Linked DNA regions of Diceros bicornis minor. The protein of the gene in region 1 interacts with the protein of each later gene in a pairwise test. Links are inferred from orthologs where the notes say so. Each region holds a gene or a part of one and is shown in the gene's direction. Other genes may lie near its edges. The genes, in order: NUPR1, STX18, FUS and RAN.

The links.
Region 2: the proteins of NUPR1 (region 1) and STX18 interact in a two-hybrid assay, tested with the Homo sapiens proteins (2 studies listed by BioGRID and IntAct). The link is inferred for Diceros bicornis minor from reciprocal best matches to the Homo sapiens genes NUPR1 and STX18.
Region 3: the proteins of NUPR1 (region 1) and FUS interact in a two-hybrid assay, tested with the Homo sapiens proteins (2 studies listed by BioGRID and IntAct). The link is inferred for Diceros bicornis minor from reciprocal best matches to the Homo sapiens genes NUPR1 and FUS.
Region 4: the proteins of NUPR1 (region 1) and RAN interact in a two-hybrid assay, tested with the Homo sapiens proteins (2 studies listed by BioGRID and IntAct). The link is inferred for Diceros bicornis minor from reciprocal best matches to the Homo sapiens genes NUPR1 and RAN.

What each region holds. Positions count from the first base shown.
Region 1 is NC_080765.1:22,008,544-22,015,714, forward strand, and holds NUPR1 (nuclear protein 1), read left to right. Parts: upstream 1-4,288; 5' UTR 4,289-5,089; coding exon 5,090-5,204; intron 5,205-5,634; coding exon 5,635-5,771; 3' UTR 5,772-5,784; intron 5,785-6,120; 3' UTR 6,121-6,546; downstream 6,547-7,171. UniProt on the Homo sapiens protein: Transcription regulator that converts stress signals into a program of gene expression that empowers cells with resistance to the stress induced by a change in their microenvironment.
Region 2 is NC_080747.1:6,965,962-6,973,436, forward strand, and holds the start of STX18 (syntaxin-18), read left to right. Parts: upstream 1-4,172; 5' UTR 4,173-4,215; coding exon 4,216-4,383; intron 4,384-7,475. UniProt on the Homo sapiens protein: Syntaxin that may be involved in targeting and fusion of Golgi-derived retrograde transport vesicles with the ER.
Region 3 is NC_080765.1:20,887,978-20,896,484, reverse strand, and holds the start of FUS (RNA-binding protein FUS), read left to right. Parts: upstream 1-5,367; 5' UTR 5,368-5,434; coding exon 5,435-5,447; intron 5,448-7,065; coding exon 7,066-7,090; intron 7,091-7,179; coding exon 7,180-7,334; intron 7,335-8,087; coding exon 8,088-8,232; intron 8,233-8,428; coding exon 8,429-8,507. UniProt on the Homo sapiens protein: DNA/RNA-binding protein that plays a role in various cellular processes such as transcription regulation, RNA splicing, RNA transport, DNA repair and damage response. Binds to ssRNA containing the consensus sequence 5'-AGGUAA-3'.
Region 4 is NC_080774.1:2,098,210-2,105,905, reverse strand, and holds the start of RAN (GTP-binding nuclear protein Ran), read left to right. Parts: upstream 1-4,331; 5' UTR 4,332-4,420; intron 4,421-4,864; 5' UTR 4,865-4,874; coding exon 4,875-4,910; intron 4,911-5,193; coding exon 5,194-5,278; intron 5,279-5,355; coding exon 5,356-5,481; intron 5,482-6,686; coding exon 6,687-6,874; intron 6,875-7,070; coding exon 7,071-7,241; intron 7,242-7,341; coding exon 7,342-7,386; 3' UTR 7,387-7,696. UniProt on the Homo sapiens protein: GTPase involved in nucleocytoplasmic transport, participating both to the import and the export from the nucleus of proteins and RNAs. Switches between a cytoplasmic GDP- and a nuclear GTP-bound state by nucleotide exchange and GTP hydrolysis.

The sequences.
Region 1 (7,171 bases):
TAAATGGAGTTGGGTTTGCTGATCTCTAGGGAGACTTCCAGTAATAGAATTTATTATTCTAGATCCTTCTACTATTGTTTTATCTGGCCATCTATCTTCTTTAGTTACCAGGAGAAATGTGTGACACCTATATTATGCTGAAAACAATGTATTACAGTTTTCTATATTATTTCAATAAATTTAGTGCAAAAATTAGGATTATAGTATACATAATGTTCTGCAACCTGCTTTTCATTCCACTATTTATTATGGACAACTTTCTCATCAGAGCTAGAGACATAGCTTGTTCTTTCTAATGGCCACAGAACATTTCACAGAAGGGTGCTGATCAGTCACGTATTGAAGGACACTTAGGTCGTTTCTGTTTTTCACTGCTACAAACAAGCCTGGGAGCATTTCTGTAGGAGATTCTTGTAAGTAGAACTGCAATATCAGGGAGTATGTGCATTTAACATTCTTGTCAATGTTGCCAAATCACCCATGAAAAGACTGCATGCATTTATATTCAAGGGGATGAAGTCAGACAGCCAAGAAGAACGGCAAACAGCTGCCAGGTTCGAGGGTTTCTCCGCATGGGGCTATGAGGTCATGCAGACACATCCTGTTTCACCTCATTTAGGATTCTTGAGTCCCCTTGGCATACAGCAATGTCGCCAATCCCTCCTGATTACATATCCTGCCTGGGAAGCTCCTGATCCTTTGAGCCAAAGACTTCTGCACATCCCTCAGGCTATCCAGGCTTTCCTGACTTGGATGGTTTAACTCCTGGAGTTGGGCTTGTCTTGCTGTCTTTCTCACAGTTATTCTTGTTCAGATTCACCACCTCCGGGAAGTCTGCCCTGATCCTCTGCCCAGCCCCTACACACACACACACACACACACACACACACACACACACACACACACCCCCATGCTGGGTTAGGTACCCTCCTGAGAGCTCCCCCAGCCCCTGTGTTTACTCCAGACTGACCACGCTGGCTTGTAATCGGTGTGCCTGGCAATCTCCTGGAATGTCACGAAGGTGTAGTCATAAGCAGCGAGAAAATAAACTTACTTGTGGCTGATTATACACACACCTGGAGACTAGAGACTGGGAAAACACACCTTGACTTTTCCCATTGAGTCACCTTTTGGGCCCAACAGGTCCATGCCAATGGGTTCCCAAAAGTCCCTTCTCTCTTGGCCACCCTCCCTCTGCCCACTCCTGCCCCCAAGGTCTAGGCTTTATCCTTCCAGCACCTGCACACTCAAGGCCAGGGAGACCTCCTTCCCCGGCTCCACGGACGATGGTCACGGTGTCTTCACAGTCCTCTGCGGGAGCAGGATTGGGCCCCTCAGTTCCCTAAGAGCAGAGCATCTGGAAGCTGAAAAAGCAGTGCCGATCTTAGCATAGCTTCATGTATTCAACTAGGCATTTATTGAGTGCTCACTGTGTGCCAGCCATGGGGGAAATAATAATGATAAGACACACGAGATTCCTGCCCTCATGAATAATGATAATAATAATAATAGCTAACATTTATTGAAACTTATTCTGTTCTAGGCACCGTGCTGAGCCTTTATAAGAATTGGGTTTTTTTTAATCTTTTTTTTTTTTTTTTGGTGAGGAGGATTAGCCCAGAGCTAACATCCGATGCCAACCCTCCTCTTTTTTTTTCTTTTGTCTCCCCAAAGCCCCAGTACATAGCTGTGTATCATAGCTGTAGAGTTGTAGCTCTTCTATATGGGACGCCACCTCAGCATGGCTTGACGAGCAGTGAGTAGGTCCGCACACAGGATCCAAACTGGCGAACTCCAGGCCACCGAAGAGGAATGCATGAACTTAACCGCTGCACCACCAGGCCGGCCCCAAGAATTGGTCTTTTAATCCTCACAACAATCCCACTAGGTACTATTATTAATCTCATTTTACAAATGAGGAAACTGAGGCACAGAGAGGCTAAATAGCTTGTCTCAGGGCACTCAACTAACAAGCAGTAGAACCAAGCAGTCCGGCTGCAGAGCCTCCTCCTTTAACCACTAACTAAACCAAACCAATGATGGCCTTCTAGTGGGGACAAATCATGGAGACGTGAACAAATAAAAAAGACACTTTGACTAGTGATAACTAAATGCTATAGAGAAAGTAAAATAACGTCAGGGTAAAGGGGTAAAGAATAACTGGGGGAATGTACGGTATTTTGGATAGGGATGTGCGCTCATCTGCTCATGATCTGCCTCCTGCATTGCGCAGAGCGTCCAGAGGGCGCCACTGTGTGTAGTTCTGTGTGTCCTCAGCACCCTGCCTGGTCCAAAGCAGGCACTCACTGTTTGGGAGGAAGGAAGGAGGGGACAAGGAGGCAGGGAGGGAGGGACAACTCTCTGAGAGGTGCTTCCACACACAGAGCTACCCAGCCTTTGCCAGTGTTTGCCAGCTGTGCAGACAGTACGAGCCCTGGAACCAGGGTCAGGTAGACCGTGGGAGGAATCCTTCTCACACCAGCTGTGTGATCTTGGTCGCTCTCTGAGCCTCAGTTTTCCTTCTTTGAAGAATAGGGGAAATAGTACACCACATGCTGGGCTCTGGACAAAGCCCTTTCACACATCGGGTACTGTCACCATCTTCCCTTTACAGATGAGCAGACGGAAACTCAGAAGCGAGCCCAAGATCTCGCAGCCGGTAAACGGGGGTCCTAGTGGCAGAGGTGAATGAGTCAAAGTCCGCCCCCTAGGGGGCAGCTCGGGAATTTGTGGGAGTGTTCTTGGTTGTCACAATGACAGGGAGGGGGAGCAGGACAGTGGCACACAGAATTGCCTCATGTCCTACATGACATTTGACTGTCCTGCTAAATGTTCATGAAGCTAAAAAACTTATTTACAATGAGCTGAGCCTAGAACCTACCCTCTCCCACGTCATGATAGAGGAAATTATTTTGCTACTTTTACACGTAGTGATAAAGCCCACTACTTTGCAATAACACTGTATTTCTCCACCTTAATTTGTTGTGGTGCGTTATCTTTCTTTTTTTTGTGAGATCAGCCCTGTGCTAACATCTGCCAATCCTCCTTTTTTTTTTTTTTTTGCTGAGGAAGACTGGCCCTGGGCTAACATCCGTGCCCATCTTCCTCCACTTTATATGGGACACCGCCACAGCATGGCTTGCCAAGCACTGCATCAGTGCGCACCTGGGATCAGAACCGGCAAATCCCGGGCCGCCGCAGCGGAGCGTGCTCACTTAACCGCTTGCGCCACCGGGCCGGCCCCGTGTGTTATCTTTAAGTTAAGGTGACTTTCCTCTTTCTCTTGTCATCTGGTCTGTCATTATTATCCCAGCTGTTCTTATTCGACTACCCTCCTGTCTTCACTTTCATTTACTGGGTATTAAAGAACTCACATATCACCCAAATCTGGAAAACAAAAGCTAAATTTAATTCTGGCTCAGGCTAGAGAAGAACACAAGCAGAAGTGCTGCTTCTTGTTCAACAGAAGACAAGACTGGGTTATTATAGGGTTTGGAGAAGGATGGGGTTTAGGTAACACTGAGATGGAACACGTTTCAAAAGGCTCACAGCAAAGTCGCAGTGTGAACAGAGAATTAACACTGAGCAGGTCCTGTTGTGCTGGAACCACAGAGTAAAAAAAAAAAAAGAAAAAGAAAGTGGGGCCGGCCCAGTGGCATAGTGGTTAAGTTCGTGCGCTCCGCTTCGGCAGCCCAGGTTCGCAGGTTCGAATCCCAGGCGCAGCCCGATGTACTGCTCAACAGGCCATGCTGTGGTGGCATCCCACGTACAAAATGGAGGAAGATGGGCACAGGCGTTAGCTCAGGGACAATCTTCCTCACCAAAAAAAAGAATAAGAAAGTGAACTATTGTGTCTGCCTCCTTCCCTGATCTGGACAGCCGGGGCCGGGGGCTGGTGCACGACAAGCTGAGCTCAAGCAGGAGTGGGCACCCGAGGGTGTGGCCTCTCTGGGTCAGATCCTTAGGCAAGAGTGGAAAATTCTACTTTCACATGTTTCTTATCTGAACCCCTCCCTTTAATTCATATTAAATAGGTACAAACACCTATTCACTTCATAATGTTTTCTACCTCAGTCTATCCATGTTTTGAAATACATTTTATTTCATTATAAATTAATTTCCTTCTATGTCTCCTTTCCATTACAGTGAGGGTGTTATATGGAGTTGTTTGGAAACTGTGTGACTAACTCTTACATAGTGCAACTTATGCTGGGCCAGGCACGATTACCTCATTTGATCCTCTCACCGGCCCTATGAGGTAGATACAATTTTATCATCCTCGTTTTTACAGAGGAGAAAACTGAGGCTCAGCGGTGGAAGGTGACTTGCCTAGGATCACACAGGCAGTAGTGGATCAGGGGTTTGAACCCAGGGCATCTGGCTCCAGCATCTGCACTCGTAACCACTCTGCTAGCCTCTCTCTCAGGTGAGGAAATTACCTAGGGACCCAGTTCAGGATATTAAGGGGGCTTTCCAGATGTTTCTTATAAAAGAGGGGGTTGGGTGTCCCAGGGGTGAGAACCACTGACAGAGCACATAGAGTGTTGATATCCTCTCCCTCTCCCTTTTCACTCCGTATTCTGCCACCATGGTCCTGAATCTGAGCCACAATTGGGGTGGGGGTGGGGGTCAGCTGTGTGGCCATGAGCCCAAGCCCAGGAGGGGCACGTTGCAGAGGGCAGGAGACAGACAGCAAGGAGTTGGCCAAGTGAGGCCCTCAGTTCCCTGCTGGCCCTGATCTTCAGAACTGTTTATGCCCAGACCCTGCCTCTCCTCCTCCCCGCTGAGGGGCGGGGATCTCCTCTGTGGAAAAATACCCAGCTGGGCGAGCCCCGGTGAGAGGAGGAGGGAAGGGGGGCTGGGACTCACGGGACGACTCTTTTTCCCTCTCGTGACTGGTGTTTACTGGGCCGGGTTCTGGGAAAGGGCCTGATTGCATCAGACAGGGCCTGAGGGGCTGGAGCCAGACTGTGGGCTGAGGAGGAGACGTGGCCTTATAAGTTGGGGCCAGTGAACTGGGAGGTGTCAGGAAACCAGACACAAACAAAGCTTTAGAAGACGAGAGACAGACAGCAAGAGTAAGCCAGACATGATGGCCACCTTCCCGAAAGCAGCCAGCCCATCCCGGCAGCCCCCAGACCCGGAGGACGAAGACCCCAGCTTGGATGAGTACGACCTCTACAGCCTGGCTCATTCTTACCTGCGTAAGGCCTGGCCTGCCACCTTCCTGGTTCTTCTACTCTGATCCCCATCCCCCACAAACAGCCTGACGCCCCCACCCCCAAACGAGGTCCCCTCCTTGGGCTTCTCCCCACCCTTCACCCTTATCCAGCCAACCTGTTCCTTTATCCCTCGCATCACCCCCTGCTAACCCCTCCTCCACTGAGTGCTGTCCTATTCAGCCTGGGGCCTCATACACTTCTAGAATACTGGAGCAACAACAGCTCATTCCAGCGGCCCCTTCTTCCACAGATGGGGAACAGGGGTTACGGCTGCCCCCAAAGCTATGGTGACAACCCCCCAGTCTCCCTACTCCAGCCCAAGCTCTTTCCCCCCAAGTCCCAACCCCCTGCCTCTCCTTTGAGGCATCATGCCTCTGCCCACCTCACCTTGGCCTCTTGCCTCGGTTCCCAGGAGTGGGAGGCCGGAAAGGTCGCACCAAGAGAGAAGCTGCTGCCCACACCAACCGCCCCAGCCCTGGTGGGCATGAGAGGAAGCTGGTGACCAAGCTCCAGAATACCGAGCGAAAAAAGCGAGGGGCACGGCCCTGAGACAGAGCTGGAGGTAGGGAGTCGGGGGTCCCAAAGCAACAGCAGAGGTCCCTGTGCCTTGAAAGGGACAAGCTTGAATGTGCTGGTTGGGTGGGGAGAAGGGGTCAAGGGACTGTTGTTTCCACATAGAGTAAAATGAAACATACATTCGACTCTGAGTTTGTTAGTGACCAGAGCAAAGGGGAAACATAGACCCTTTCCAATTAGAGGGAAATTTGGTTTACAGAGAGGAAAACTGAGGCCCAGATAGGGTAGGCTCCTTCTCTGGAGTCACACAGCAAGTGAGCGGGAGAGGCAGAGTCAGAACCCAGGCCTCTACGCCTTTGGTCACCTGCTTTCCTTCCCCCAGATGAGGCCAGAGCACGGACACCACAGCAATGGAGAAAGGACTTCGGAAGAATCAGCACCTGGGGGCCGGATCCAGGCCTGCTTGCCCTCCGCCCCACCCCCAGGACTTACCCCACCTGACTGAGGCTCCAAGGGGCCACCAAGGAAGCGCCCCCAGCCCCAGAAAAAGGACAAGATGGGGAGCAAGAGGCAGGGGATAGAGAGGCAGAGTCATGAAGGTACCCCCAAAAAGAAAGACGCTGAAGACCCGGGAGCTCCCTAGGGTGGCAGCGACAATAAACAAAATTCAGCAGCTGCAGCCTGTGTGTGGTTTTTGTCCTCTCTCTCTGTTTCTGCCCGCATGTGTCTGCATTTGCATGAGCCAGTGAGAGCATTTCTTGTTAGTGTTTGTGTTTGGTTATGTGTCTGGGAGGGGCGGTTCCTGATTTTGTAGGGCACCTAGAGGTGAGCATGCATTTTTTTTTGGTATGCGTGTGTTTTGGTGCATACATTTCTGTGGTCTCTTTTGGGGTGCAGCGGGATTTCCTCTGTTTCTTTGTAATGCTGCCCATGAAAAAAGCCCCCTCCCCAGCTCCTCTCCATTTTCGGAAGAACAATCTTGTTGACGATGTCGTATTCATATAACATTGCCTTTTGAAGTGAATGTTATTTCTTGGCGCCACCTGCAAAATGGAGAAAACTGAGATTTAACACATTAAGGGACTTGGCTCAAGTTACCCAGGGCTCAACTTCAAGGATTCTTAGAGTGCTCAAGTGTGAGGGGGGTCCCTTTGCCCGGGGAGCTGCCCGAACAGGATTATGGGAGGTCAGCGAGAGGAGGAAGTTCTTACTTAGTGTTATCAGTCTTGGGATCACAGTTGGAGAAGAACATGGGGCAAAAAAGAGATGTGATTGAAGCTAAGAAGATATATTGATTGAGATACAGATTTGGCTGCTGTAATGAAGAGCCAAACAAAACAGGATGGAAAGTTCTCTCTGTGTCACATAACAGCTCCAAGGGTAACTACTCCTGGGCTAAAAGCAACTCCGTTGTGTCAGGGATTCCAGCTCCT
Region 2 (7,475 bases), on another chromosome or scaffold:
GTTTCAAAACTAAGCTCCTAGGAGAAATCCACTCTGATTTTTTAAATATTTATTTTATTGTGGTAAGAATACAACACGAGATCTACTCTCTTAACACATTTTTAAGCGTACAATACAGTATTTTATCTATAGGCATGATGTTGGGCAGCAGATCTCTAGAACTTATTCACCTTGTATAACTGAAACTTTACACCTGCTAATCAGCAACTCCCCATTTCTCCCTCCCCCCAGCCCCTGGCAACCACTATTCTAGTCTCTCCTATGAGTTTGACTATTTTAGAAACTTCATATAGGTGGAATCCTGCAGTATATGTCCTTCTGTGAATGGCTTCTTTCACTTAGCGTAATGTCCTCAAGGTTCATCCATCTCGTTGCATAGTGGATTTCCTTTTTTAAAGGCTGAATAATATTCCATTGTACGTATATACCACATTTTTTTGATCCGTTCATCCATCAGTGGACATTGAGGTTGCTTCCATGTCTGGGCTATTGTGAATAATGCTGCTATGACGGTGGAAGTGCGGCTATCTCTTTGAGATCCTGATTTCAACTCTTTTGGATAAATACCCAGAAGTGGGGTTGCTGGATCATATGGTAGTTCTATTTTTAATTTTCTGAGGAATTTCCATACTGTTTTCCATAGTGACTGCACCATTCTGCATTCCCAACAACAGTTTACAAGGGTTCCAATTTCTCCATCACCCTGATTTCTTTAGCTAGTTTCCTTCTTAGGAGCAAAAGTTGATTCTTTGAGCTTCCTGTCCCTAGAGTCACGGTCCTTTTTAGAGCCCCTGAGAAAAAAAATTTTTTTGATGAATTTCTTTCAGGCCACTTCCTACAGTGAAAGTACATGTTCTCCAAGTCCTCCCCTCTTGCACCGTGAATTCTGCCATGGCATGGCCAGGCTTGCAGGGTTTCTATTATTCTAACACTCCCAACCAGGTCTTTTCTATTGGTTAGATCTAGGTGTAATCTAACTGTTCCTTCCTCTCCATCCTTTACCTACTGAGAGATGACACTGTAGTGATGGTAAGTGAAGAATGCACCCAAAAGTCTTGTTTTGGCAGATATCTGGATATGCGTTGTATCAATCAGGATATGCTAATTACGTTGCAGTAACAAACAACCACAAGTCTCCATGGACCACAAGAGCAAAGGTTCATCTCTCACTGCCAGCACACGTCCTTAGTTGGCTGTGCTCCACGTCATCTTTACTCAGGGACCCAGGCTGGTAGCACATTGGAACATTATGGGTTGCTATGGCAGAGGGAAAAGAGAGCATGGTGAACCACATGTTAGCTCTTAAATTTGCTGCCCCGAACCAACACACATTACTTTTCTCAGCTAAAAGGAATCACCTAGCCAAGTTAGTCATCTATAGGTCAACGAACTATAATCCTCCCCCAAGGAGGGGCCATGAGTACCAGTGAACGATAAAACAGACTATCACAGAGGGTCTCTAGTTACTGTATTATTGTGGCAAATCTATGATTCCATGGACCCAGAAAACTGTGGTCTCCCCATTCTGCCCTGCAAGAATTCACATTTCCAGGCACTGGACACCCTCCATGCAGCAAATACCTGCTTACGCCAACTTTCGCCAGTTGGTACGGCTATAAAACCAACCCCTCTAAAGGATGCCACAATGACAAAGTCTGACGACAGCAGAAGTCTATTTCTCACAGCACATGTCTGTCATGGGTTGGTCATCTGGATGTGCAGCATACCCTCTTTTTGATGGAGGCTGCATTTAATGACTTCTGTGAGAGTCCCCAAATAATTCTGAGCTGCCTACATTTATCTTGATTGTATGGAAGGTGCGGTTATAGGGAGCTATATTCAGGAATTCCAACATGCATTACTGTTTTTCAAGAGAAGAGCGCCTGGCCTAATGAATGAAACATTATTACCAATGAAACATAATTTCTGTACTACATCAAACTTGGTAGTTTGTAGTATACTCCCGTGACACTTCTGTTCTTGCTTTTCATCCACATCCCCTCTCAGCTTTATGGGATTTCAAATAGTTACTAGTCCAGTGTCAACTTGTTGCTTTGCTCTTTGAGGTTAAAAGAGAGAGAGAAAAACAGTGAAATCTCATACCCCACGATCTATGGGAAGTCCAATGGCCTCCTCAAGATCTTTGTGACTCTTCTAGGACTTTTATGTACGTGCGGTCACTTGTGCCTTTACAGCTTGATGTTTTGAGTTTACTTGGGTCTCATCTCCACAATCTTCTCTGCTTTTACAGATCCAGACAGAAAACTTACACTTTTTTCCCCAACCTTTTACACAAAAAAACTAACCGCACCAAACGCACTACCCACACAAGGCATTACTCACTGAAGGTTTGGTGTAGCTCAGCCACCCCCTCAAAACTCTTCCCAAAGAACTACTCTCTCCTTTCTTGAACCCCCTCCCTGGGCTCTGGTTTCCCCCTCCTCCCCCTAATTCAATCCTGTTCACTTTATTATGCAGAGCAATTTAACTCTCTTTCCTTCAACTCTGCCCCAGGCTTACCTATGCATAGCTAAAGACCCATTAATGTCTCCATAAAACAAAGGACCATTTATGCGAGACAGAATCCTGGGCAGAGATTTTCTAATTTCTTTTTCGTTTTCTCCCTCTTACTCTGTAGGCAGAAGAAAGCTGTATGGAAATTTATTTTCCTCATACAGGAAGGCTGAAGTGGCTACAGCTGGGTTTTAAATAACATTTTTCTCTCTTCTTTTCAGGTACATGTGTACTTTCTTGACATCTATTTCTGATAAACTTATTTCTTGAACACAGTGGGTCTCAAATTTTGGTCTCAGAACTCCTTTATACTCAAAAGTTATTAAGGGCCCTAAACAACTTCGGTTTATATGGTTTTATGTATCAATATTTACCATATTACAAATTAAAACAAAAATTTAAAATACTCATTCCTTTAAAAACAAAAATAAATCCATTACATAGTAACATAAATGGTATCTTTCTGTGAAAAAATACATTTCCAAAACAAAACAATTTAGTGAGAGCTGCATTGTTTTACGTTTTTGCAAATCTCTTTAAAGTCTGGCTTAATAGAAGACAGCCATTCTGCATTCAGTGTTTTGCAATGTGACAAGGCACACAGCCTCTGGGACACTCAACTGTACACAACTCCTGAGAGAGAGAGTGAAAAGGCAAGTAACATTTTAGGATTATGAAGAGTTTCTATCTTGCCGACCACGCTTTGACAACCACTGTTTTAATACATATTCCAGCGGTGCACCCACTATCAAAAAAACAAACGATGAAATCAATGAGATCTTGAATTAAATCTGAACCTTGAACCAAAACGTACAAAGGACTCACTGGCTACCCTGCAGTCAACTTAAATAACTACCACTTAAGATGGTATATTTAAAAACTATACATCAAGGATGAACAGAAATTCCGCCATTGTCTCCATCTGATAAATTCCTGGTCAGCCTTCAAATCTGCCTTCTCTAGAGTGAGTCTTCTCTATGGAACCCTTCCCCACCATAATTACGAGGACAACAATGTTATTAACAACAGGTATCTAACTTTTATTGGTCACCAGGAGCCAAGCAAAGCCAAAACACTTCACGCGTGTTATCTCATTTAACTCTCAATAATTCTCAGGAAGGTACCGGCTTCGGGGGGCTGAAAGGTGAAAATGAAAGGCCTCCGGTCTCCAGCTCTGTGCCATGCACACCTGCTTGTCCTAGCACGCATTGCATCTAGATGTCACGGTCCACGAACTCCGTCCCGCACAAGGTGCGTCCTTGAGGTCAAAGGTCATGCTGAGTCGCCTCCGGCCACCCGCGGCCGGCTCGCTCCGTGCGGGAGTCTCGAGAAGGGGTCAGCTTCCTGGTCCTCTCGCTCCCGCGGCCCACACGCCCTACACCGGCCCGCGGGGGCGGGGGGTTCGTGGACCTGCCCGCGCGGCCAAGCCCGCAGAGGTGGGGGGTTGGGGGAGAAGGGGCGCGGCTGTGCGCGCCGCGAGGTCCGGGCGCCGCGGGGGTCCGCCACGCGCGTGCGCTGAGGCCGGAACCTTTCTGCTCTGGCCGCGGTAGCCCGGCGGAGGCCGGAACCTTTCTTCTCGCGTCGCGGTTGGCGTGCGGAGGCGTGCGGAGCCGGAACGGTCCGCCGGGGGCCGGGCTCGCGCCGCGGTCGCCGGCTGCTGACGTAGGCCGGCCGGGTCGGGGCCCGTGAGTGCGGGTCGTCATGGCGGTGGACATCACTCTGCTGTTCCGGGCCAGCGTCAAGACCGTGAAGACGCGAAACAAAGCGCTGGGAGTGGCGGTGGGCGGCGGGGCTGACGGCAGCCGCGACGAGCTGTTCCGCCGGAGCCCGCGGCCCAAGGGCGACTTCTCCAGCCGGGCGCGCGAAGTGGTGAGCGGGTTGCTATGGAGACGGCGGGCCGGAGCGGGGGGCGGCCGGACCCCGTCCCGTGCGCGTTGTGTGAAGGCCGCCTGGACTGAAGCGGGGCCCGGAGAGCTGGTCCGGGGGGCCGACAGCTGTCCCGGAAAGGGCGCAGCCTTGTCTCGGGGACTGGGGACGCGCGGTGGGGAGCGCGGAAGTGTGTGGGCAGAGCTCACGCGCTGCTGCGGAGCTGCTGAGCTCGCCGTCGCTGCAGACCTGAACGCCAGCGAAACGCCCCCGCGTTCCTCTGCTTTCCTGTCGCGGCCCTGACCGCGGCGTACTTGCCTCTCCTGTTTACTGGTCTCGGCCCTCTCCCCTTCCCCCGCGTGGAGATCACATGTTGTGTCCAGCTGACCTCTCCCGTCCCCTCGCCTCCTGCAGCAGGTTAGGGCTCATGTTGGGGATCAGTGCGTCTTGAGACTGGTTAAGGATAATCTTTCACAAACACTCCATGTTAGCGTCATCTAAACTACTTCTGTGCCTTGAACACAGCAGGCTTTCGTTCAGGGGAGCAGGAACCTTTTCCTTAAGGGCAGAAACAGTGTTGGCTTCACGTCAGAAGCCCCAGTGCCCGACTCCGACTCATGGCGTTGCTTAGTAAATGTTTGTTGAATGAATGAATGAACAAATGGTTGTCTGTCTTCCCCACTAAACGGGAAACTCTGTAAAGGGAGAGAGAAAATGTTTGCCTCGTTCACTTTTGTATCCTTGGCACCAAGGGTGGATCTAGTTTTTGTGGAGCTTGAAGCTTATGCAGTTCTGCCTGTCCTCTTTAAGAAATGAAAATACAGAATCACAAAGGTTTAGAGCTTTGGGAGGTGTAAACCCTGAAGCTTAAACTTCATTAATTTCGTGGTAAATCCCCTTAAGTTTGGCACACAGTCCAGAGCCTGATACTTTGTAGACACTGAGATATTTTTTAATGAGTGTATGTATGCGTGAATTAACAAGTGGCAGTTTGCAGAGGATATTCAAGCATCAGAAGGGGGACTGGGCCAGATGAATACATTCAGTCCATCAATAAGCATCTGTTAAGCAAGCACCTATTTTTTGACCAGCACTGTGTTAGAATAACATGATTTAAAGGGAATGGTGGGGGAGACCGAGTAACAAAACAAGCACCATACAGCCTTGTAGATGCTGTGTAGGCACAGAGGAGAATGTGGCCAATTCTGCTGGAGGGCCGAGAGAGGCGATAATGTCTGAAACAAATCTCTAAAGAGGAGTAGTTGGTTCCAGTGCAGACAGGGTGGAGAAGGGCGCCTCGGGCTAAGAGAAGAGTATGCACACAAAGATGTGGAAATAGGTCATTTTCATGCTCAATTTAGCTGAATTTATATATACTCAATGTGTGTCTACCCATTAAAGTACCAACAAATTAGACAGTAATGACATTGCAGATTTTTTTGGAGGAACTTGTTATGTGAGCTACTCCAAATGAGGATGAATGTGCCGCTTCGCAGTGTTAATGAATTGGTTGGATAAGCATTTGAGTGTGGCTGATTTGGGGGACACTCAGGAAAACTGGACTGGAGTGGTAGGCAGGGGAAATCTTGAAGGGCCTTGTTTATCACAGTGTGGAGTTTGGACTTTGCCCTGGAGGCAGTCAGATGTTATGTGGTAGAGAGAGCGCTAGAGAAGGGGTGAAGACACCAGGTTGTTGTCTTAACCCTGCGATGATTAGCCATGATCTTATGAAGCAGGTTTTATGGCCTTAGTTTATTTACCCGGCAATAGTCTCCTCCTTTTTTTCCCCCTTAAAAAGCAGAAGACTTTTAAAAAAAACTGCTATGATCTCCGATATATAGCAGATCAAGGTTCTCAGGTTGAAATGAGAGGGAGGGAAACTGGGACTTCTCTGTGCGCCTCCCTCGAGTCTGGCCCAGGCTGTTCCTGAGGTTCCTCCTTTGGAATTGTGGTATGAAGATCACAGTTTTGGTTTTTGGAGGGCCTTTTCTAACCCTGAAATCACTGATTTATTAACACTGTGCTAATTTTGGGTCCTGCTCAGGGATAGGGGCTCTGGGAGTGGCCGAGACGAGAAGCATCGTTGGATTGGCCAGCAGTGAGGAGAGAGCCCTGTGATCACTTAGGCCCCAGGCCTCTCCCTGAGTAGTGAGATGGTACTTTAGGCCTTTGGGTTAATAGGCCTCAGGGACAGTAACAGGACCCTGGGGTGCTGAGTTCCCTGTCACTGGAGGTAATTAAACAGCGGGATGACTGCTCGTCAGAGATGTTTGAGAATAACTCTGTGCTTTTGTCAGAGGGTTAGATGCATGTCACTGAAAGTTCCAGTTCTGGTATTTATTGATGTGGGTAGGTGTTAAGGCTTGGGGAGTCTATTAAGTAGGGACATGGGCTGTGTTGTTCAGGGCCACTGCCCTTCCTGACATAGGGAACACATGCCTTCTTTTGAGGAATTTTGATTTTATGTTGCAATTGCTTTATGTAGTACCTCCTGTTCTTGCAACCATTTCTCTCTCTCATGGAAAGTGTAACTAGTATAGAGCTAGTGAGGGGTGTCCTTTGCTCTTAACCACAGTCAGATGTGTCAGAAGTCTGGCTGTTGTTTTGTTTGGCCTGAATTCCTTATACATAAAAGTCTGGTCATACTAGGAACACATATTCTGGTTCAAGTTGAGCCCTGGTTGTCAGACTTAAGGAAATGTAGCAAGTTATAGTAATGCCTTTTCTTGAATGCCTTCCTTGAAGCATTTATTATCATTTCTAAGATACGTATTACCTAGTTCAATTCCAGTTCTTCTCATTCCTCATTTTTGACAAAACATACTCCTGATGTCAGATTTCCATCTCACTGAGTTGTTGTAGAGGTTATGTTAAGTTTAATACAACTGTGTTGAAACTAGATCTTTTATTTGTCCCACAGGGTGGTTTCTTCTGCATCATTTCTTTAAATATTTAACTTTTATGCTTGATTTTGCTGAATTTATATATACTCAATGCATGTCTACTGATTAAATTACAAACTAATTAGACAGTAACAACGTTTTGTATTTTGGGGGGAGGAACTTATGTGAATAGCTCCAAACAACGATGAATAT
Region 3 (8,507 bases), about 1.1 Mb from region 1:
GTCCCACCCTGAACACTTCCCTCTGTGCTGTAAGAGTCAATGTGTTTTTTGAATTGGTCAATATGCATTCAGGGTAAAAAATTAAAATATAAAAGGGGACCCAGGGAAAAGTGAGTTTACTTCATACACTTGACCCCAAATTTCCCAGATTTCTTTGCCAGAAATAAGCACTGTTACTGATTTTCTCTTCTTGCAGAGATATTTTACGTATAAACAAACATATTTGTCAGTAACTCTCCTCCCCCGCTTTTAAACCCAAATAGTAGCATATTATACACATTGTCTAGCACCTTGCTCCCACCTCCCATTAATAACAGAAGTTGGATAGTCTTTATATCTGTACATTTAGATCCACTTCATTTTTCAAATCTCATGGTATATCCGTATTACAGTGGTTCTCAATCTGGGATGATTTGGGCCCCCCTACTCCCGCCAGGGACATTTGGCAATGCCTGGAGACAATTTGGTTATCACGACTGGGGGTTATTGCTAACATCTAATGGGTAGAGGCCAGGAATGCTGCTAAATATCCTAGAATACACAGGACATTCCCTCAAAATAAAGAATTAACTGGCCCAGGGGCTGGCCCGGTGGTGTAGTGGTTAAGTTCGCATGCTCTGCTTTGGTGGCCTGGAGTTCACAGGTTCAGATCCCAGGCACAGACCTACACACCACTTATCAAGCCATGCTGTGCCAGGCGTCCCACATATAAAATAGAGGAAGATGGGCACAGATGTTAGCTCAGGGCCAATCTTCCTCAGGAAAAAGAGGATTAGCAATGGATGTTAGCTCAGGGCTAATCTTCCTCACCAAAAAAAAAAAAAAAAAGGAATTAACTGGCCCCAAATGCCAAAAGTGCTGAGATTGAGAAACCTTGCTGTATAATAATTAAGTCAACCAGACCCTCTCTTGATGGGCACTTAGGCAGTTTCTAATGTTTTGATATATAGGCAGTGCTGCAATGGCAATGATCCACTTTAGATAGTTTAAGCAGAAAGGGATTATGATAGGTGGTTACCAAATTTCTGAGATGGTCAAGAGTCAAGCTTGGATGCTTCCCAGCCAGTAATACATACCAGGCCAAGGGTCCAACAACACCTTGGTACTTTCTTTCTTTCTTTGTTTTTTTGTGATGAAGACCAGCCTGGAGCCAACATCCATGCCAATCCTCCTCTTTTTGCTGAGGAAGACTGGCTCTGAGCTAACATCTATTGCCAATCCTCCTCCTTTTTTTCCCCGAAGCCCCAGTAGACAGCTGCATGTCACAGTTGCACATCCCTCCAGCTGCTGTATGTGGGATGCAGCCCCAGCATGGCCGGACAAGCAGTGCGTCGGCGCGCGCCCGGGTTCGGTAGCGGAGCGCGCGCACTTAACCACCAAGCCATGGGGCGGGCCCTTGGTACTTTTCTAATGGAAATTCCAGTGCTGTTGCCTCAGTCCATTGATGTTAATGATACTAAGGATGTTATAACCTCCACCAAAGTTACCCATGAAGAACCAAAGGCTTGGGCTGCTATGCTGGCCAGAACATGTGAATTTTCCACCAATAGTTGCTGCCTCCAATCTCATGTAATGCATCTGCTTGACAAAATTGGGCTGGAGATGATCCAGAGACAGGCCTGGAACTCAGGAGGGTCATGGCTGGGTGTACGCATCCAGGAGCTGAAGGCATGATGTGGATGAGATTAGACTGTCTAGAGTCTTTAACCTGGAGTCCCCACTAGGGGTCTGAGGATAGCAGTCAGGGGGTCACAGATTTGGACAGGGAAACATTACATGGCAATTTTCACTAACTGCCAATTGACATCTAGCATTTTTCTCAATATGATGACTGTAGGCAATAAATCACAACAGTTTCTGGGTCTTGGTCACTGACAGAAATCTTAGAAATTGTACCACATTGCACTTGTTGTAGGTACCTGAAAACATTTTTTTATTCCACTCTACTTCAAAATTAAGATAGCTATGGAAAAAAGGAAAAAAAAAACTATTAGAAAACAGAAAAAAATTAAGATAGTTATTACACTATCAGATCTGTGTACTGGATCACAAAGATCTTTTTAAGAAATAGTTGATAACTATTTCCATTGGATTTCTTTGTATTCTTACAAAGTTTGTTTTATGCATTTACAAATATTATTCTAAGAAGGGGTCCACATTATCATTAAACTCTGATACAAAAAGAGGTTAAGGATCCATGATCTGGGAACAGATCACAAATCTGAATGCCTTCAAGGGCCAGCTGGAGGCCTGAAAACCAGGGCCTGCTTTGTTTTCCTACATTTGAAGACAAGAAATATTTTCTCTTGCTTTTAACTCGAAGAAAAACTGCATTCAACTCCTGATATAAATGACAATCGACACTCTCCCACTAGAGAAACATTAGGGAGTGAGGGAGACTGTGGCAAGCTGCAAGCACATGCCCCAGCAGCCTCCTGCTCCAGCTGACCCCTGCCCTCTGGAAAAGTAGGCCCAGGGTGGCCAGAGCCTCTAATTTTCAAGAAAAGCCAGAAGTTTGGATTTTTCCCCTATATTTAGTATTGGCAACTAGTTAATTAAAAACAACGTGCTGGCTACACAAAACCTGTCTGCAGGCTGCATCTTACACCAGGTCATAGTTGGGGCTTTGGGTCTTGAGGGAGAAGCGAAGAAGGCTGAAGACAGAACTCTGGAGGGCCCTGCTGTCTGTAGGGTGAGCAGAGGAGGACACTGCAGGGGAAGGAGACAGAGGGACAGTGGGAAAGGTGCGAGGGCTGGGAGCAGGGATGTCAAGTAAGGAGACTTTTAAGGTGAAGTGAGAGGTCCCTGTGTGATGTGACTCAGGAGAGGTCCACTGAGAGAGATAAGCCTGGAGAAACGGTCACTTGATGAGGTCACAGTATAAACCTGTCACTCCCTGCACTCTGCCCATGAGTGCCTTTCCCTACCCCTGCCTTTGTCTTTGCCATTCCTTCCACCTGTTACACCTTCCCTCTCTCACCACTTGGTGAACTATTACTTATCCTGCAAGGGCTGCTTCAGTGTCACCATCTCTCCTTCCTCTTCTGTGGTTGTCTACTTAATGGATGACTTGCTCTCCTCACAGAGTTCCCAGATTCCTTGATTCCATGTCACAGCACTCACCACATTTGATTCAAACATACTTTGGGGTCCGTGTGTCTCACTCACATCTCATCCACTGGCTATAAGGTCCTGCGGTTCAGGGACTGGATCTTTTTTATCCTCCTCTCTCTACGTCTGCCCCATGCTTGGCACACACTATGCAGTGCTCAAGCAATGTTTGCTGAAGCACAGGGGTCAAGAGCAGGAACTCTGAGCCAGGCTGCCTGGGTTGGGACTCTGGCTTTGCTGCTTTCTGTGTAGCCCTGGGGATAGCTTATGATCTTTCTGTGCCTATTGTAAGTTATGATCAAAGACTCAGAACACTGCTTTATACTTAGTAAGCCTTATCAAAGTGTTAAGCTATTATAAATGTGTTATATATAACATATAAATATCATTATTAAGTGTTAGTTTTGGGGGCCGGCCCGGTGGCGCAGTGGTTAAGTGCACGTGATCTGCTTTGGCGGCCCGGGGTTCCCAGGTTCGGATTCCGGGCATGCACCGACGCACTGCTTGTCAAACCATGCTGTGGCGGCGTCCCATATAAAGTAGACGAAGATGGGCACGAATGTTGGCCCAGGGCCAGTCTTCCTCAGCACAAAAAGAGGAGGATTGGCATCGGATGTTAGCTCAGGGGTAATCTTCCTCACACACACACACAAAAAGTTAGCTTTGTTATTAAGTTCCTTCAGATGTCTGTTTTGCACACTAATGCATCCTCAGTGCCCAGAACAGTGCCTGGTACACTACAGGTGCTTAATAAATATTTGTAGAATGAATGAATGAAGGAATGATGGACTTCCCTTTGCCCTCACTCCACAGTCACACTGCCCTCCCAATGAGGGTGGGGCGAGTGACAGGGTATTCAAGGGCCATCAGGGGTTTAGTAGAAGTTTGTGGGCAGGCCTAGGGCCTAGACCTTAATTGTTTCTCTAGGAAAACATGTCAAACCTACAAAGGAACTACTGGAACCGAGGTCAAAGTTAAGTTGGGAAAGAAAATCTGCATGGCATGTGTACCAGGAATAACCTCCTTTGTCTTGTTTTATTCAATACTCTCAAATTGCCTTCTCCAGGCAAGGCTGATTAGACTGCAAGTTGCAAGTTAATTTGAACTCCACTTTTTGTCCTCGCTCTCACAGGGAGTGAACAGGCTTCAGAACACTGCCAGGTGTTCATATAACCAACAAAAGGAGTGTTTTGCAGCCACACAGACCTGGATTCGAATCAGATCTGACCCTCAGCTGCTCTATAATCATGGGTTGCACTTGGCCTCTCTGAGTCTCACTTCTCTTATCTATAAAAGAGATACATTTCCTTTCCTTAAAAGATTGTGATGGGAAAGCAATTAATTATGCATTTTGAAACCACTTAAGCCATATGCAAATAGTTATTACTGGATCTCCATATTGGTTCCTTGGTAGTGCTTTAGAACAATAAAAAGTAGCTCCTTATCTGTAAAAGGCTAGGAGACCCCTAACCTAATCTCAACGCTCTCTGAGGTCCAGAGGGCCTGGGCTTTCCCCTTCCATCGCCAGTCAGGGTCAAAGTCACGAGGGTTTGGGAGGGCGATCAGTGCTGGGCCAGACGAGGATCCAGGGATCTGGGCTAAACTCCATGCTTTCTTTCAGGTCAGACGTCACGATTTACAAACCCTGGTATGGACTAAGGAAATGAGACCCTGAAAGACTATGAAGTGAAAACCAAGGCCCAGGGAGAGAGAGAGAGAGAGAGGGTCGGTGTGTGTTGTCGGGGGAGGAACTTTAGAGCCAGAAAGGGAGCTTGGCGGCCGGAAGGACGACACGTCCTGTGTACTGCGAGGGCAACGGAGCGCAGGATCTCGCCATCCGGAGTGAAAGTGGGGCCCAGTGAAAGGGTCCAGCCAGAGGAATTTCGGTTCCCGCCTGGCGCCTCCCAGCTTTGACTACAGTTGGGTCCGCAGACGCCCTGGGCCCCTCGCCCCGCCCCCAGAGGGTAATGAGACCGTACCATTATGCCTTTATAGGGGTAGAGGTGAATAGCAGGCTAGTCCTGCAGAGTGAATCCCAGTTCTTTATCAGAGAAAACATGATTTTATATATTATTTTCATGATTCTCAGTTAATATGTTTCCCTTCTGCCTGCTCAGACCCTGTATACTCCCTGAAGAGTGGTAGGACTCCAGCCATGCTTCCCCCTTTTCCTAGCCGCACTTGGTGCATTCCTCCGCGGTACGTAGGCGGGAGGCGTACATAAACCTCGACGCAGGAGGCGGGGCTGGTCAGTCCTCGAGGCGTCGGTGCTCCGTGGTGTTGGAATCTTGTTGCTTGTTGGCCTGTGCGCGCGTGCGCGGACATGGCCTCAAACGGTATGTAAAGGCACGAGGCGGCGGTGGCGCGCCGGCCCGGGGCCTCGTTCTCTCCCAGCTGGGCTTTTGTTTTTCGGTGGGACCCGGGCAGTGATCGCGTGTAGGGTCTTCTCGCACCACGGTGGCGGGAAGCAACAGAGAGGGGTGGAAAGGGGAGGCTGATGTCGCCATTTTGTTTCGCTCCTCCGGCGCCTTGCGCGGGGCAGGAGGTCTTGCCTTCGCAGTGCCTTTACTGGAGGTGAGGGTCGAGAGGGACGCTTCTGGGTGATTTGATACGTGAGACACGGACGGAAATGCTCCGTCCCCGTAGCCGTTTTTTCCCTTCGGTCCTAGCCCGGCGTTCGGGCCCGCTTTGTCGCAGTGCTGCATCCGGGCACTCGGTGCGCGCACGCGCTCTGCTGGCCCCTCCCCCCTTTCTCGCGGCCCGAACTCCCTCCCGCCTCGTGTTGGCGCTGCTTTTTGTCGCGAGACCCTCCGCTGGCGACTCTGCGCTGCGCGTCCGGTGTGGGCCTCGCCCGCCGGGGTCCCTCGGGAAGGGGCGGGACCGCCGGGTTCCCGCCTCGGTTGCCACGCGGCCGCGGGCGGAGGCTCGGGATCGGGGCCGCGCGCCCGCTTAACGGCTGTGGGGGCGTCTAACGGGGTTGGGGACTCGGCCCGAGGATTTTCCCGCCTAAATTTCCTCTTTCTGAGGTGGGAACCGAAAGAACGGCTGCCCGAGGCCACACCCTCTCCCGGTCCTCTGGCCCTTTCCTGCGGGGGAAGCGCCTGGTTTCCTGTACTCAGGGGATGCGTTGATCTGGTTAGTGCGTCCTCAGTGTGGCGTTTTAAAAGCACTCCCGCTGCATTTGGTTTGCTGTCTCCTCACAGCTCCGAGGAAGGCAGGGTAGATGAGGAGAGGGGATTGGAGCCGCAGGGCTGAGGACTCGAGGACCAGTTAACTGCTGCCTCCTGGGGCGAGCACTTTGATGATTTGTCATTTGTGGTCCGAGGGCTCTTTTCTCTTGGTTACCTGGCTTTGCACTGAAAGCCCACTTTGCCGCTTTTCAAGATTAGGCAGAGGGTGAAGAAGTTTGAGACATTCTGTTCTTTGGGTCTCGATTGCGAGAGTGGAGGCCACATTTCGAACACTGCTGCCTCCAGCTTGAGTTAAAACCTGTCCCACTTAAGTAGCTCTGGGACTTTAGCTTGATTCTTGGTGATACTTTCTTCATAGAGTGGGTGTGAAACTGAAATGTGTGTGAATTTGTGCCATTCCTGACATCAGTTGAGTTTGCAGAAAATTGTAGATGTCCACCAAGATTCTTGTTTTTTTCCAGTAGTAGTTAAGGCCTCTTGGTGTCTGCAGAAATTTGCTTTTTCTTTGACTCTTTTTCAGAGTCAAGTACGAAAACTTGACTCTGATCTGCCAGCTTGCCCCTCCTCTCAACTAGTGTTTCAGGAGAGAATTTCTGCCCTTCTTGCAACATGGTCTTGTTGGTTGATTTCTTACCTGGAGGCCCCAGGGCTTAAATTGAGGAATTTTGCCCTATTGTTTTTTCAGGGATGGCTGAAGGTAATGTAATTGTATTATTGTTGCTTTCTTTTTTTGAAAAAAATAATTGTATTTTTCTTTTTGCAGATTATACCCAACAAGCAACCCAAAGGTGAGAGTCATTTCTGGGCTTTCGGGGTTTGTAGAGGTCAAGGGTGGCTAGGGTATCTTTTCCTAATTACACTGTTTCTGTTTCTTCAGCTATGGGGCCTACCCCACCCAGCCTGGGCAAGGCTACTCCCAGCAGAGCAGTCAGCCCTATGGACAGCAGAGTTACAGTGGTTACGGTCAGTCAGCAGACACTTCAGGCTATGGCCAGAGCAGCTATGGTTCTTCTTATGGACAGACCCAGAACAGTGAGTCTCTTTTAGTGGGTCACCCCCCCCCTTCCTTCTCCTCCTGAATGTTGCTTTTCTTAAACCTGAGCAATGCTGAAATGTTGGAACTGTCCTGTGTTTCTTTTCCCTTAACTGGTCTGTAACTCTTAAAACTCTTTGGAGTCTGAGTCCTTTCAAACAAAAATGCATACTGGTTTGTAATTCTCTTTATTTTCTTGAGTCCTTATTTTTCTTTTAATGCTGCCCTTTTCCCCATTTCCCTTTAGCGTGAAAGTGAAACGTGGGGGAGAGTATTCCCTAAGGGGAGAAAGTTTTAGATTTTTGGTGCTTACAGGGAGAAAATGATTTGCTTGAAGATGTTTGAAGTCACACTACCAAATATCATGTGATACACAAGGAGGTGGAATTTGCCCTGAGGTCTTGCAGTGTAAATAATGTGGGTTCTATGTGTACTGCACACATCTGAGCAGGTTAAAATGCTGTTAATGAGTAGGGATCTTTTGGGCTGTGATTAGTCGTGCGTGGTCCTGGAGACTCGCTTTGGGGTGGGTATGGTGAGATCGGAAGTCCAAAGTTGATAGAAGTTGGAACATTAGCCTTAGGTAGAAGAGAAGGGTAACTTTATGAATTGCAAGATTCTAAGCAGCTTCTGAGAGGCGAACTTTTCAAGTATGGGTAGCATTAGATAGTAAATAATATTTTCTTCAACCCATTCCCTGCCTTTTCTCTTTCTACATAGCTTTTGTGGTTTCCTTTCTCTTTTCCTTATAGCAGGCTATGGAACTCAGTCAGCTCCCCAAGGATATGGCTCAGCTGGTGGCTATGGTAGTAGCCAGAGTTCTCAGTCGTCTTACGGGCAGCAGTCCTCCTACCCTGGCTATGGCCAGCAACCGGCTCCTAGCAGCACCTCGGGAAGGTAAGGAGTTGTGGGGAGAGGCCTGAAAGATTAAGGGTGAATTGATAAGGAATGATAATGTGACCAGCAATAGGAGCAATCATGAGGAGTAATGGGGAGGGGGGTGGTCTTTCTTGGGTACAGACAATGGGACGTACCAAAAGCGAAAGGAAGTTTTGGACATGCTGTCGTTATGATTCTTTTTCCTTTTCTTTAGTTACGGCAGCAGTTCCCAGAGCAGCAGCTATGGGCAGCCCCAGAGTGGTGGCTATGGCCAGCAGTCTGGCTATGGTGGA
Region 4 (7,696 bases), on another chromosome or scaffold:
ACGCTAGTTCAGATATAAAGCACTTGTGAACCACCTCAGTGCAGGACAAAGAACACCTTTGAAGGTTGGATTTAGTTCATGGGCCACGAAGGTGCACCCTCTGCACTGTCCTTATCTTTAGATGAAAGAGATGAGTGACTATATGGTGTGACTATATGACAAGTCTCTCCATTTGCTTTTAAGACGATAACTTCTGTGCTAACGCTAAGAAGTAGCATGTACTCTGTGCATCGATGTGCTCCCTATATGGAACATTGAGTGTCGGATAAAGAAAAGATCTCATTTGGTAAGTTACTGACATGCGTCAGCTGGACTGATGAATGAATTAGATAATGAAATCTTTAAGATTAGCTTCCTTATTGGTTTGCAAAGTCAACAAAGTTGATGGAAACCATACAAATAGAAAAGCTTGGCCCTATATTTGGTAAATGTTTAAGTTATTTGCTTAATGATTAGTCTTTGATATGAAATAGCATTATTAAAATTCTAATAAGCTGGTATATGTAAATCATTATTTTTATTAGAATATATCGCTGCTGTTTCTGATTATTCTTTCTGTATTCAGATGGGGTGAAGAGCAATTCACTCAATAATTCAACAAATCTTTACTGAGCTCCCATTATGGCCGAGGCACTGTGCTCGATACCTCAAATATCATGATAAATAAGGTGCTTAGTTTATTCTAATGAGGGACAGAGAGATAAAAAAAGGAAGCGTGTAAATAATTAAGCAAGATATTTTCAGTTAGTGGTAAGTGCTTTGGAGAAAATAAAATGGTTGCTGAGATGAGGAAGGGCTGGAGTGGTGATAACACGTTAGAAGGGGTGTGGTCTGAGTGGGCCTTCCTGAGGAGGTGACATTCAGCTGTGACCTGAAGAATGAAAAGGAGCCACTCAGGCAAAGATGTGGAGAAAGAACGTTTTAGGCAGAGGGACCAGTAAGTGCAAAGGCCCTGATTTGGGAACAAACTTGGCCAAGGTAAGATTCAGAAAGGCTTGTGTGGCCACAGAAGAGTTACTGGGAAAGAGGCCCGAGGTGGGGCAGGAGAGGTAGGCACAAGCTAGCTCATATAGGACCTGGCCGGCTGAGGATTTCATGTATCCAAGTGAGATAGATAGATAACCGTTGCAGGGTTTAAGAGGGGAGAAGGTTGGTCTGATATGTTTTAAGAAGATCGCTCTGTGCCTCCTGATAAGATGCACTGAGAAGGACATACGTCATTTCTGTGGTATCCCAACCCACGCTGCATAACCTGACTCTAATCCTAAGGAAATATCAGAGAAATCCAAATGGAGGGCCATTCTACAAATAACTGGCCCACAAAATACTCTGCAAAAATGTCAAGGATATGAAAGCCTAAGATGAATGTAGCATTCCACATTGAAAGACAGTAAAGAGACAGGACAGCTAAATGTAATGTGTAATCCTAGATGGATCCTGCAGCAGATAAAGGACAGGCGTGAGACAATTGGCAATTAAGTTCTGTAGATAAGATAACAATTGCAACAATGTTCATTTCCTGACTTTGGTAATTGTACAGTGGTTACGTAACAGAATGTCCTTGGTTTTAAGAAATACACACTGAGGGGCGTGCTGTTTGCTTCTTACTCAAACATCTCAGAGGAAAAAAATCACATATATATTGACATATTTTTAAAATCATATATATACGATGTTTTTATTGAGAGGAGAGAATGATCAAGAATGATTAATGTTAACATTTGAGGAAACTAGAAGTAAAGGGTGCTGAAATTCCTTGTACTACTTTTGCAACTTTTTTGTAATTCTCATATTTCTTTGTGTATATAGCTGTAATTTTTTAAACTACAGGTTAAGCATGGGTTTGCAATCTGTGTTGGGTGGCCGAGACAAGTTAAGTACCTCTGTAAACTGCAAAGCCATTAACAAATGGACGAGCTTGGACAGTTCTATTGAGGAAAAGCATTATTTCTGCTGGCTTGAGTATATTTTCCCCCTTTTCACTCTCCATAAGATGATGATGTTTAGAAGTTCTGGGATTGGGCCAGTTAATGACATTAGCAGCCAAGAACAGACCACCCAGGAGCTCCTTTTTTTTCTTTTTTGTGAGGAAGATCAGCCCTGAGCTAACGTCCATGCTAATCCTCCTCTTTTTGCTGAGGAAGACCGGCTCTGAGCTAACATCTATTGCCAATCCTCCCCATTTTTTTTCCCGGAAGCCCCAGTAGATAGTTGTATGTCATAGTTGCACATCCTTCTAGTTGCTGTATGTGGGACTCGGCCTCAGCATGGCTGGAGAAGCGGTGCGTCGGTGCGCGCCCAGGATCTGAACTCGGGCCGCCAGTAGCGGAACGCGAGCACTCAACCGCTAAGCCACTGGGCCGGCCCAGGAGCTCCTTTTAGAAGGATGGGTGCGAGAGCAGCTAATACTCTTGGTTTGACATACTGCCCCTTGGCTTTTTTTGTGGTTAGAAATTTTTTTTAAATGCCAAAAGGTCTAAACACTGGTGTTTTCATCACCCAGAATTATACGATTACCTTTTTAAAAAAAGAAAGAGGACACTGCAGATCAAGACTTCTTTGACTGCTTTTCCCAATTTCATCACACTCCTTTCTCCTCTCTCAAAGCAACAGCCAGCAGAATTTAGTCTATATCCCTGTAGTCAACTTTTAAAAATTTACATACATACATCCAAGAACTAATATGGTTTTATGTGTGTTTGTAAAAAACTTACATAAGTGGTCTTATACTACATATAATCTCTATAAATTATATATAGTGTAGACTATATAAAGGTATTACCACATATTTCTTGAACTTGCTTCTTTTCTCCACATTATCCTTTTGAGATCTATCTAACTCTGTTGACATAGCTGAACTTCATTCTTTTTAAATGCTGTACAGTAATCCATCGTATAAACACAGCATATTTATACATTTCCCTATTGATGGACGTTTACGTAAGTTCCACTTTTTGTTACTGTAAATAATGTCACAGTGAGCATTGTGAACCTGTCTCCTTATGCACATGTGTGAGTTTAACGCTACGGCATCTCCCGAGAAATGGAAATACAGGGCAATTCAGGGTCGTGAGCTATGGACATTTATGTTTTATTAGTTTCTCTCTCTCAAGAGGCCGAACCAATTTACACTCCCACCAGCAGCATCGAGATCTGCTTGGTGTTTTCCTGAGGGTCCTTCGGGGCACTCGGACTTGAGTTCCCAGCAGGCACATTCTCAGATGTGTTGTGCCCAGTTTGCGTCACTGGAGTTCCCAACAGACCTGCTTGCAAGTGCACTCAGGACTCCGTGGCTAACTCCTTGGTCATTTGGGTTCTTTGCTCTGGGAACAGTCCCCGTGGTGGAATCTTTTTGTGAGGAACTTTATTCTGATGGGGCCATTCGCTGCCTGCTCTTGCTGCCAGTCATGGATGCTTGCTTGGCCGGGGGGACCCAGACGTCAGTTAAAGAATCTGTGGTTGTCCATATAAACGCCAAACACTGGCCTCAGATTTAGGATACGAGGTGCGAGGACTCCATTCGGCCCACATCTTTGCTAAAAGCGAATGAACGGATGACGATAACCAATACTCGTGAGCTTGCGGGTCCTCCTTTTCCGCCCACGCTGACCCCGTGAGGGGGTGTCTCCAGGAGCGTGCGCGCACGGCGCTCGTCCGGGCTCCTGGCGGCCTATCCCCTCCCGAGTCTGGAACCTGGACACTCATGACTGCACCCATGTCTGTAACAGGAGAAGACCCGCCACGGTTGCGAACACCACATTTCAGCATCCTGTCTGCAGAATACGGTCGCGGAGGCTGCTGACCGATCACACGCCGTAGGAGACAGGGGGCTGGCTTTTCGGGGGGAGAAAGCATCGGTCTCTGCTTCCCTTCCCCTCGGAGGGTCCTGATTGAGGCCGGGGGCTGGGGAGGGGGCAGGGAAGGGGCCTGCGCCCCCAACATGGCGCCCCCGGGGCCCGCTGTGCCCGTGCTTGTGCAGGAGGCCGCCGGGCACGACCGGGGCTTTGTGTGGCCGCTCCCCGCGAGTTTCCCGCCCAACAGGCCGCGGCCCTCCCCTCCCGCTTCTGTTACCCGGGCGGCAGCAGGGCGCGCCGCGTCGCCGTCGGCGCATGCGCGCGCGGGAACCCGGCCTCCCGGCCGGCGCACGTGGCCCCGCGGGCAGGCGGGCGTGCGCGCGCCCGCACGGCCTCCCGCTCCCGCCGCGCCGCGAGCCTCTCCCTGCGCCCCCGGCCGACGAGTGCGGCCGGCGGAGCCGCGGCGTGCGTGCGCGCGCGCGCCAGGCCACGTGGGAGAGGCGCCGCGCCGTTGCCCCGCCCTCCCTCGGCGCGCGCCGGCGTCGGCTGCGTCTCCGGGCATTTGAATTGCGCTTCCGCCATCTTTCCAGCCCTCAGTCAGACGGGCCCGGAGACGCTTCTGGAAGGTAGCGGAGGGGAGGCCGGGCCGGGGCGGGGGCCGGGGCCGCGGGCCGGGGCCGGGGCCGGGGCGAGGGCGCCGGCGGCCGCGGGAGGCGGCGGGGCCGGGCCCGGGGCGGCGGGCCCTCTTCCCCGTGGAGGCCGCGGGCCGGGCCGGACCCGAGCGCGGGCCGGGCGGGCGGGCGGCGGGGCGGCGGGCCGGGCGCGGACGGAGGGGGGCCGGGCGGGCCGGCCGTGACCAGGCGCTTTCGGGGCCCGGCCTCCGGGCCTCCCCCGCGCGGCCTCCCCGCCGGCCCGGTGAATGGGCCGCGGGAGCCGCCGCCCGGCCGCCATGGCGCCGCGCCCCGCCCGCCGCCCGCGCGGGGTCGGGCCGGGGGCCGCCTTTGTGGGCCGGCACGTGGGGCGGCCGGCCATGTGTCCCGGCCCCCGCGGGCCCCGCTCTCTCTCCGCAGGAACATCGCGATGGCCGCCCAGGGAGAGCCGCAGGTCCAGTTCAAAGTAGGTGTCCGCGTGGGCCGGCGCGGCGGGGCGCGGCGGGGCGCGCGGGGGCTCTCGGGGCCGGGCCCCGCGTGGCCGCGGGCGCACGTTCCGGCGGCCGAAGTCGCCGAAGCGATGGCGGGGCCGCTCGGTCGGGGTCCTTTGTGTGGGGGGACCTGACGGGGTGTTGAGGTTCTGTCCCCCCGGTGGAGGTGGGCGTCCGGCAAGCCTCGCGGCTGCGTGACTCCGGGGTCCTGAGATGTTACGGGTCTGGGGTTTATTTCAAAAACGTGTTGTCCAACAGCTCGTATTGGTTGGGGACGGTGGCACTGGGAAAACTACGTTCGTGAAACGCCATCTGACGGGGGAATTCGAGAAGAAGTATGTAGGTACGTGGGGGAAAACCGTCGGCGAAAGTGGGGTGAAACGGACGAATTCCCGGACTGATGTGGGGTGTGTGTTTCAGCCACCTTGGGCGTCGAGGTCCATCCCCTCGTGTTCCACACCAACAGAGGGCCCATCAAGTTCAACGTGTGGGACACAGCGGGCCAGGAGAAATTCGGTGGACTGAGAGATGGCTATTACATTCAAGGTGCGTGTCTCGTCTGTAACTTGAACACTTTTTGAGAAATTGTAGTTTGGTCCCCTAGGGTGTTCAGTGATGATCAGATCTGTTCCAGTGAACACATGCTTAATCCGGACCGTACCAGGAGTTGTGTAATTTAGGTTGATTAAAAAGTCATTGCCTCCAGGGAGCTGACCATCATTGGAGGGGGAAAAAATTTTATGGAAGTTGTCTTGTGCCGTTTGGTTGCATGCTGTGTCATAATAGGCACTGTTTTGAAAAAACTACTTGATTTTATATTGAGGCTCATAATTTAAAAACAGTAGTAAGCAACAGACAAGCAGTTGCTGCAGCTTCAGCCTCATTTGAAAACTTATTTCTGGGTGTATGTTTTGGTGGTCATCAATGATGATTTCTTCTCCATTCTATTGAGAAGATAGTAAACAGTTTGACCAGATACTGGACCAGAAGAGCTAGGTTCTCTAGCTTACAAATGTTGTAAAAGACCAGCTGTTTTCTTTTTAATTGTGCTGAGTTTTGCAGAATTTTTTTTCCGAATGCTTGATTTAAAAATTGCAAAGAAAAATGCTTACTGTTGTGCCAAATGAAAAGATGAATAAAGAAAATACTCATTACCTGGAATCTTACTCTCGCTGAAAAGTTGTTGGGAATCCTTCCATGCTATTTGCTTTTCCTTGAGTATGTACAAATACAGGGATTTTTCCCCCAAAAATTCTTTACTTAAACTGTATTATACTGTGCATACTCTTGGTTTTTTCATTAGCTTTGAGAGGTGCCTATTCCTACAGGTCAACATAGTGACCTACTTGAGTATTCTTAAATAGAGGCATGTTATGGTGTATTCAGCCGTTTAAGGACATTGTAAAGCATAGATTTCTAGACCCTCAGAATATGGGAGGTGAGTTCTCTGGAATGTTGATTTATCATTAATCTACTTTAGGTACTTTTTTGGGATTAGGTAGAATTAGTGATGAAGGACTATAGGGAGAGAGATTTGATAAGGTAAATTGGTTTTTCATGCTTTCATATAAACGGTATTGTGTGTTACAGTGATTTAAGATTTTTAGAATTGGAAGAGACTTTGAAATTGATTAGGCAACTCTGGATGACCTAGAGTTAAGTCTGAGACTGAGTGCTAGTCCATAGTTCTTAGCATTTCTCATCCATGTAGTTGCTAGGTGTGTACTAATTTCTGTAAATTTTTCCTTCAGCCCAGTGTGCCATTATAATGTTTGATGTAACATCGAGAGTTACTTACAAGAATGTGCCTAACTGGCATCGAGATCTGGTACGAGTATGTGAAAACATCCCCATTGTGTTGTGTGGCAACAAAGTGGACATTAAGGACAGGAAAGTTAAGGCAAAATCTATTGTCTTCCACCGAAAGAAGAATCTTCAGGTATGTTTCTTACAGCTTCCATTTACTGGATTAGGGCCCTTAGATAAAATTATATATGGGTCCATTAAAGTGGTTGATAAACGTCTGTGATATGTGGATTGAAGTAATTTTATCTTTTAGCTTGCAGTGTCCCCCAGGATGATCATTGTTTGAGTAATGGAGTTTTTAAAATTAATTTTACTTCTTTTTTAAACAGTACTATGACATTTCTGCCAAAAGTAACTACAACTTTGAAAAGCCCTTCCTCTGGCTTGCTAGAAAACTCATTGGAGACCCTAACTTGGAGTTTGTCGCCATGCCTGCTCTTGCCCCACCAGAGGTTGTCATGGACCCAGCTTTGGCAGCACAGTACGAGCATGATCTAGAGGTATGATGTTTCAGTCTCAGTGGGTGCTGTGGGATTTGGCATATCACATTCCTAGTGGCTTTAATCTAGAGTGTTAAAATTTTTTCATCTCTTTTTCCAGGTTGCTCAAACAACTGCTCTCCCGGATGAGGACGATGACCTGTGAGAAAATGAAGCTGGAGCCCAGCGTCAGAAGTCTAGTTTTATAGGCAACTGTCCTGTGATGTCAGTGGTGCAGCGTGTTTGCCACTTTATTATATAGCTAAGCAGAACATGTGCTTAATCTTTGGGATGCTGAAGGAGATGAATGGGCTTCGGAGTGAATGTGGCAGTTAAAAAAATACCTTCATTTTTTGGACCTGCATATTTAGCTGTTTTGGAACGCAATTGTTTCCTTCTTGAGTTTCAAATATAAGACTGCTACAGTCACATCACAATATTCAGTGGTGAAATCTTGTTACTGTCATTCCCATTCC